Caenorhabditis elegans: one gene and its partner. The protein of the gene in region 1 interacts with the protein of each later gene in a pairwise test. Each region holds a gene or a part of one and is shown in the gene's direction. Other genes may lie near its edges.

Evidence for each region. The genes of interacting proteins can lie anywhere in the genome.
Region 2: the proteins of lin-37 (region 1) and F10G8.8 interact in a two-hybrid assay, tested with the Caenorhabditis elegans proteins (3 studies listed by BioGRID).

What each region holds. Positions count from the first base shown.
Region 1 is NC_003281.10:7,070,340-7,074,370, reverse strand, and holds lin-37 (uncharacterized protein), read left to right. Parts: upstream 1-1,818; coding exon 1,819-1,943; intron 1,944-1,992; coding exon 1,993-2,127; intron 2,128-2,564; coding exon 2,565-2,844; intron 2,845-2,891; coding exon 2,892-3,061; intron 3,062-3,251; coding exon 3,252-3,369; 3' UTR 3,370-3,481; downstream 3,482-4,031. Other genes in the region: ZK418.13 (Pollen-specific leucine-rich repeat extensin-like protein 1), read left to right, coding at 1-87; ZK418.5 (BOS complex subunit TMEM147), read left to right, coding at 538-610, 657-790, 968-1,165, 1,216-1,352, 1,403-1,538; tmem-17 (transmembrane 17 domain-containing protein), read right to left, coding at 3,486-3,647, 3,715-3,837, 3,886-3,999.
Region 2 is NC_003279.8:10,058,978-10,063,825, reverse strand, and holds the start of F10G8.8 (PH domain-containing protein), read left to right. Parts: upstream 1-1,799; 5' UTR 1,800-1,837; coding exon 1,838-1,945; intron 1,946-4,848.

The sequences.
Region 1 (4,031 bases):
AACTGGTGGTTGCTCGTGGCACTGGTGATGCTCACAATTTTTGCGTACCGCTCTTCTATGGAACAACACACTTGCTATTACGATTGATGATTATGATTATAAAGATCTTTTTATTTGTAAATTATTTGTTTTAATACGAATTCGAAAAGTCTGCCATATGATAGAAAGTCCTATTCAAACTTCGCGCGTAAATGGTTCTCAATAAAGCGCGGTTGCACTACTCTTTTTTTGTCGCTCTTCGTCAACTTCTGGTAGCGTGAGCCCTTCAAATATCATCATTCAAATGCCCATTTTATCGATTTTATTGAATTTTAGTTATTTTAAATCCAATGATTATTCTCAAAATGAATTTCATAATCATCGGCTGGTGTTTTTGAAGGTTTCTAGTGTGTCCAAACGAAATTTATAGTCCTAAAATATTAACATTCAGTAATTCATAATTGCTTAAGAATTAAAAATTACCTTCTTTGTTCCTTGATATCAAGTATATAGTTTTAATATTAATTCAATATCTTTCAGGTAAGCTAAATCTACAAAATGTCATTTTTCCATTTCATCAATTGCTTCGCGTTGGCATTTGCACCATATTTTATTGTCTACAAATACTCAGGTAATATTTTTTATGGGAAGTCAATGAAACACCACTATTTTTATAGGAATTAACGAATACAGTTCCATCTGGAAATGTGCAACTGCTAGTGGTGGATATTTGCTGACACAACTCGCCAAACTGCTTATCATTGCCACATTTTTCCCAGCCCTCGACAGTGAAGGATTCAGTATTGTGCCGGTATGTAATTAATTTTTCTATTCAAAATTGGAGCTATAAATAACGTTTCAATGAAAATCATTTTAATTCAAGTTTTAAGTGAAATTTACCATAAACCCATCCTCGCCGGACATAATCCTTCGGACACTTCAAACTTATTGATTTTGGTTTTCATTGCCAATCTCAGAATCATTGCAGGAATTCCTAAAAAGCAGTGCTGACATCATCGATGTCATTGGGCTTCACCTTCTGATGACCAACTTCTTAGCCGGAAAAGGAGAAGTTCGATTCGTTGTCGGTGGTCTTGGCTGGGGATTCGCTCATTCTGTTGCTCATCGTCTTGTTCTTTTATGGGTTGGAGCTCGTGGAACCGCTTTCACATGGCGTTGGGTTCAGGTGATCAAATCTTCCTTTTTTCTGAAAAAAAGATAATATTATATTTTCAGACATCTCTTGATTCCTCAGCTGATCTATTGGTTATTGTGTCTCTCGCCTGCCTTACATGGATGATCACCCGCACTCCAAACAAGTTCTTGGTGTCACCGATCCTTGCGATGTGTGTCTTCTCAACATTCGTTTATCAGTAAGTATTGGTTTTACTAGTCAAAAAATGTAAATTTTTTTTTATTTCAGAACCGTTCAACACACATTCTCTCTCTACGGATGGTCTCTCTTGGCATTCCGCTTTGCCTACTCCATCGCAACAGCAATTCTCACCGTCGTTGTCTATTCGGCAAACCGGACAGCGTCCACAAGAAAGAACGAGTAGCAACACATATTCTGCTATAATTCACTTTTTGTCAGTTTCAATACTATCTTAGATTCTTTCAGAATTTATATATTTATTCGAAATTTTCTTCTCTCCTTGTTCATGTTTATACAAGTACCCAAAAATATTTATTGTTTAATTTAATAACTGCTTCAAAAATTGTCGTCCTTATATTTACTCTACAATTTTTATCTCTTTTTATTAAAGGTTAAATACCTTTATTACTTTGGCAAGTATTCGCTGTTCACTGTCCAAATAATGTATTCCTCTCCAATTCTAGATGTCAGAAATAGATCCACTTGCCGAGTTCTTGCTTCCAGAAGACGGAGATCGAAATGCTCGTCAAAATGATCCATTGATAAGCGGAGGTCCACTTCCATTGGAATCGCCAAGCAGAAAACTCACGTAATACTTTCTAAACTTGAAACAATTGTGCTACTCAAGATGCTTCCAGATCCCTGTTATCCTATGATCCGACAGTTCCGGAGTCACCGGATATGAAATTCGCCAGAAAACGTCTGGGAAATCTGCTGACAACCATAAAACATCACCCATCGGAAATAATTGGAGTACTCCCAGAAGATTATACGTAAGTGATAAAATGGAAAATTTCAATTCTTGTTTAATTTTCGGCAGAGTATACCATGCCTGGGGCGAAAAATCATTTTTTTTTTGGTTTTGATTTTGTATCAAAAAGCAAAAATATGTAAAAAAGCCAAAAAAAAATTGGAGATTGAATTTTAAACCTTAATATTTGAGAAAAAGAATTAAAAACTATGCAGAGCCACATTTAGTTTGAAAGAAAAGTAAAATAAATTTTGTACACAGAAAACGTTTACAGTAAATACAGCATTTTTTTTCAGTTTTTTGGTTCCAGATAAATAGTTAATTTTTGTCAAATGTCGCGTCCTGGAATATACATAACAGAAAAAAATTTAGACAATGTGGACCTTTTTGTTTTTCGTAATATAAATTTTAGACATAATTGAAAAATTAGAGTTTCCATTGCATTTTTTATAATTTCAGTCGTGCTGATGAAGAGCCCGGGCGCCAAGGACGTCCACCAGGTCGCCCTCGTAAGATGCCGCGTCACGAATCTTCAACTTCACTTATGGAATCACCACGCAAGACTATGACTCGTGATTCTAAAATTATGTTTGAATTGCGTGGAAAACCATTCGAAATGATAGCTGGACGTTTTGAAGAAGAATATTCACTTGGTAGAGCATGGGTTAAAGGACACATGAATAATGAATATGAACCAATAAAAGCTCAAAGGACAGACTATGCACCGAATCTGGCTGTTGTGAGTGGGAAAGATTAAATGAAAAATGTTATAATTATTTCCTTCAGGATTATCTTGCATGTCGCGAGATTCATCGAATGCCACGTCCAGATAAATCAATTCCTGAGCTGCCAATTGTTCCATCTAGAATCGATGAATTCGACGCTACAGTCGATCCAAGATATGAAACAGATTTGAAAAATGAATACATTCGTCATTGGAAACAAGTCAAAAAAGGGTAACACTTCTTCTGCCATTGAAAATTTCCGTAAAAATTTATTTCTTAAAGTATTACGGTAACTGTGCTCTATGTTAGAATTTCATTTGTCGAATTTTGTATCAAACTATAAAATAAAAAATATTGTACTAGCAATCTGTGATCACTACTATTTCTTCAAAGTCAGAGAATCCAAAAAAAAAAATTTCAGTTGGTGTGCTCATCAACGTCGTCGGACTGCTCCCCATGCAAGAAGCATAGCATTAATCAACAAAATCTACCAGCCTGGAGAGTCGAAAACTGTCGAGCAAGCACTTGGTCTTATTTAAATATTCTAACATGTAATTTCAATTTATCTCTTACTTTCTGATCTTGCTATCACATGTCTCTTATTTCAAAAATCTCACTTTAAAATTCATATAAATAATGGGTTTATTCAAATACATCATCTTGACAATTGTTTTTTCAACGTTTTTCTTCCACTTTTTGGAGATTTTCCTGAAGTTTTCTCGAGCTCGTCAGCTACTTTTTCTTGTTGAATCTTGTTAATATATTTTGCAACTTCTCGTTCGGCAGTTTTCATCAAAGCTTCTATAGCGAATACAGTCTGAAATAGAAATATTTTGAGAATATTCAGATTTTTGAATTTTCACTTGAAATCCACTAAAAATCACAATCATTGTGTAGAAAACGTATTCAAGTGGGAGATTCAGAAAAGAGCCATTCACTGCCAAGAATACTGTAAGAGGAATTTGAATAATAATTGTAGTTATTAAGAATCCAAAAAGAGCTGACATCTGTAAACACTAGTGTCGATTTTCTGACTTGACTCATTCAAAACTTACATTTTCTGCCAAATTTCCATAAAATCCAAGTCCTAGCCGTACTCCTTCACTTCCCAAATGAACTAAACACGCAGAAAATGCAATTACTTGATACGTTAATGACAGCAGACTATGCTGAAATTCAAATAATGCTCTAAGTATGTTCC
Region 2 (4,848 bases), on another chromosome or scaffold:
TTTTATTCTACCAAATCAGTCATTCTTTCTGAATTACCGATTCCTGATCGTGACTCATCAATTTTTATTCCATTTTCTTGCATTGTTTTTGATTTCTCAGACATTGGAGTTTTCATGTTACGAAACATAAAAACAGCCTCACGAGGTTTCTTTATCACCAATGAATGTGAGTACTTGTGTGGAAGCTGTTTTGGTTGAGAGTCATCTTCCCAGGGCAAGTTACTTGATTGTTTGGGGTTTGATTATGCTATTTTCATTAAAAAAAAATTAGATTCTCAGTTCTGACAATGTTTGGGAAATTTGACATTTATTATGAAGCCTCGTCAAAAAAAGTTTCAAAACCCAAATGGTTCAATCACATGACACTTTCTTATCACCAACTGGTCCTTGCACTTCTTCTACCAACTTCCCTCTATTCCCACTTTTCCGTTTTCCGTGTTCATGTCCCGGGGTCCGAGAGAGAAAGAAAGAACGCCTGTTTGATATCTGTGTCTCTCACTCTCTTCTTATCACTACTATCTTTAATTGTTTCGGGGTCCCCCCACTACTACCCTCCTCCTCTTCTTTCTTGTGTTCCTCATAAAGAAACGAACGAAAAATACGTTTTTTCTCTCTTCCTACTGTTTTTCAATTTTTTGATTATTTCCATGTTTCTGTAGCCTTTTCTTCTTTCCGGTTGGCCAAGAAACAATTATTAGCTTTTTTGTTAATGAAAAGAAATATCGATAAAACTGATAAGAAAACAATTGGTTTTGTTATCAGTTGTTTCTCTCAAACCAATCACTTACCCTTTTTCTCATTTTTCGAGAACCGTTTTTTTTCTGTCTTGGTAATTTTTATCAGATCCAATTCATTGAAACGAGAAGTAATAAAATTTAAAACTCAAAAAATTCATTTAGTTTCAAAAAATATAAAATGCTTTCGCTACAACTACAGTAACCTGCGAGGAACTTTTTAAAAGTTATTTTTATCAAAAACATGTTGTTAAAAATAATAAATTAAATTCAAATGATCGACTATGACTATGAAACAATTTAAAAATGTTGTTTTCTTTCAGAAATTTCATTTAAATTCTAAACTTTTTTTAGTAACTGAATTAATTTCAAATTGCTGGGCAAAATGATTACTGTAAAGCAACACAGTTTTGTTGGATTTTTTTTTATATAATTAAACTTTTTGGAATGATGATACATTTTGCAGAATTTTTTAATTGGTCCTAAATCGGTTTCACTTCGAAACATTTATTTTCCGCGGAATATTGTTTCAAAATCAGGATTTTTATTGTAGAAATTGCAAAAAAAAATTTTTCAATGAAAAAGACAAATTTTAGAAGTTTTAATTTACACAATTTCACACTCTCATCATCCTACTTCCCCAAAGTACATTACCAAAAATTTCAAGAAAAAAATGATACTAATATTTTCTGAATACTCTTTCACCTGGTCATTTAAGTTCCATATTTTCCCAGTTTCTCAATAAAATAGTAAAAGTGGCTCGTAAATCTTTCGTCAGTGAGAGTGAAACGGCTCGACTGGACACGGGGACACGGGACACCAATTGAACACTAAATTGCGGTCAGAAAGGGAGAAGAAATCTATAAACTGAGGAAAAGCATATCTCATAATGTGAACTACTCTATTTCAAAAAGTCTTAGCTGACCAATGACTCTTTTAAAATATTTCTATTGAAAATTCAAGTTTGTTTTCTCAACTTTTCAATATTTTCCCACATGTTTCTTTATTTTCTTCCTTTCCGTTTTAACACTCAAACAAAGTCAATAACAAAAATGTAAATTTCAGACCACATCCATGACAGGAAACTAGAATAAATATATAAAATGAACGACTGTAAGCGGTTTGAAGCAAATATTTTCAATAATGGAAAATGCAAGATTTGCTATAAATCCAAACAGAATCATTCATCAGAATCAATTGAAAATGCAAAGGTAATTTTTGTTTGATTTTTAGTTGATTTTTATTTGAAAAAATAACGTTTATGACTTTATAAATCAGTATGATTTGGCCTAAAATTCAGCTTCAATCAGGTGTTTAAATGAGTTTTTAAACATGAATTTCCAATATTTTTCAGTAAATTTTGTTCGAAAATAGCAACTATTTTTTAAAAGATTTATTCGAAAATACTTTTAATTCTAATTCAAAAATTTCCAATTTTTGGTAGTTCGAAACTTCCATGAAAATGCCAACACTTTTTTAACTTCAAAATTAAATTAATATAAATTCGTTAGTTTTTTAAAAATAATATTTTGATTCTAAATTTCACTTTAAAATATTAGAATATCAAACAGAGTACGGTATTCTACTAAACTACCAAAAATAATTGGCATCTTCCCAAACGCTGTGCCCCGAATTTCTGCGAATCTTAAAACTAATAATTAATTGTAAGAAAAGCTTTTTTTTCTGTTTTCCCGTCTCCATTTGCATTTTAATGTTGTAGAAAGACGAAGATTGAAAAAAGCACTACAGTTTTTTTACAAAATTCAATATTTTGGTGTTTACATAAGGTATAGTTTATTGATATGAAATGAAATCAGTAGTATTTGAAAAAGAGTATACTGAAAAAGACATGTTCTTCTTTCTGTGTCTCTCAATTTCTAATACTATTTATCATTTACTTTTTTATTGATAACAAGTCCATTTTGCAATCGGAAATGATATAAAAATGCATAGTTGATTATTTTTTGGAATGCTTTTCTCTTCATTTTAAGGTTTTTTGAAGTATCTGATTTGAAAAAGAGCATTATTTATTTAATTCTAAACTTTTGAGTTTAATTATTTATTTGATCAGTTCTCAACTTTTTTGATTGCATTTTCCATTTCTAAGGGTACACAATTTTCAGTTTGACACTTCAAAAGTTCCAACAAAATATTAGAATAAATTATAATTGAACACTCCAAAATTTTTTAGCTTTTTAAAATTTTTTTTTAAATTTTTAGCAAATTGAAAGTTTTAGAAATTTCCAAAAATTGAAAAAAAAAACTTTAAGGTTCGCACGTTTGAACTTGAATAATATTTTAATCCGAACAATGGAAACAAAATTAAAATATTTGCAAAAAAACCTTTTCCGGTTGACTTTCGAAATGCTGATAGGCGGAAGCTGTAAATAAACTAATTTTGGGCTTTTTTAGCACCACAGAGGTGATTTGAATCATCTTCCCCATTGCCGCTTCTCCACCTTTGAAGCTTTGATTGTTTTGGAATAAAATTTTCAGCCAATACCTCTAAGCTGGTAATAGATACCTGAACATATAGTCTTAGTTTCACCAATCGGTTCCACTTTCATTCTTTTTTGTGTCTCATTTCGTTTCGCATCAGTTATTTTTCTGCAATCACACTTCGGCCCATTTCTTTTTCTTATCCAATCCCAATACATTTTGTTTTTTCATTGGAAGACGTTCGTCTCTCTTCTGAGCAATTATCCTTTCTATCTCTAAACTCTCTTACTATTTCAATAGTATTCCATTTCATAAAAGTGCGCACTTTTGGGTCGTCCAGAGACATTCAACCAGAAAGCATTGATTCTTCCCTTCTTTTTCCTTCCTCTTGTTTATTTATTCAGCAGTGACACTATCCTTCACTATTCCTCTTCCATTTCATCCATCCTTGCATTTTTCTTATTTTTTTGGTAGTTTTTCTCTACAGTGACCCTATTAATTGGCTCAAGTTTTATTTCTAATACCGACACACACGATTTTTGCTTCAAACAATTATGGGACAAAAAGATGAATTCCACTTGACATTTTGTGAATGCCAAAAAATATTCCGAGATATTTTTTGTGTCATTTAGTAAAAGTCACTATTTTTAGCTGGTCTAAGTGAGCACTGAGTTTTGATTTTTTTCAAATATTATAACATCATCAATGTTTTTTAACTGAACCTGAGGCTCTGATTTTTTAGGGAATAAAAAATTGAGTGTATAAGTTTTGGATTCAAAATGACGCATTTAATAAATAAGTTCGTAAGTTAATTTTAGAATTTCTGGAAATAAACTTCTACGTAATTGAAAGATATGTATGCCTACCACAGAATTGATAGTTCCCTGTTAATTTTCTATTTTCTATAAACATTTATCTAAAAGTACCATAAAAATCGCAATCTTATAAACTTGAGCAATTTCGTTTTTTCCTGAAAAACATAAACACGAAATTCTAGACAGATTGCCTAATGCACCATTGGCCATCCTCCAATTTATAAATTTTAATCCAATCTTCTATCATCTTCCACTTATTATTATTATTATGCCCACCACTTCCAATCATGCTTCTTCTCTGACCATCATCTCCTTCTTCTTATCATTTGATTGCGCATCATTTTATCTGTTTATACCCGACTTGGCTTGTATCCAAGTTTTGAACACCCACTCACACATTAAAGTATCTTCATTCGTCTCGATATATCGTGTTCGTGTTCACTTTCTACATTCATTCAATGACCTGCTTTCTACCTTCCATTCATCCTTGTTTTCAACATCTTACCACTCACTCTTTTTCTCATTTTCTCTTATTTTCTCATGCTCTATCGTTCATCTAGATGGATGTAGGTAATGACTGGGAGAAAGAGAGTAGAATCCATCCTCCAATTAGTTCCTTTTCTGCTTCTAGAATTGTTTTTTGTTGTTTCTAGGTCTAACTTGCACCCATGACATTTGGATTTTCAAAACTTGGATTTTGAAAAAAAACTTTTACTTAAAGGCGCACGGATTTTTTCAGATGGATAGAAGAAAGTATTTTCAATAATATCATTATACATAGTTTTTGTAAAGGAAGAGCTTTTTTGAAGACGAAACAAATGTTTTCAATTCTTCAATTCTTTTAAAAATCACATTTTGTT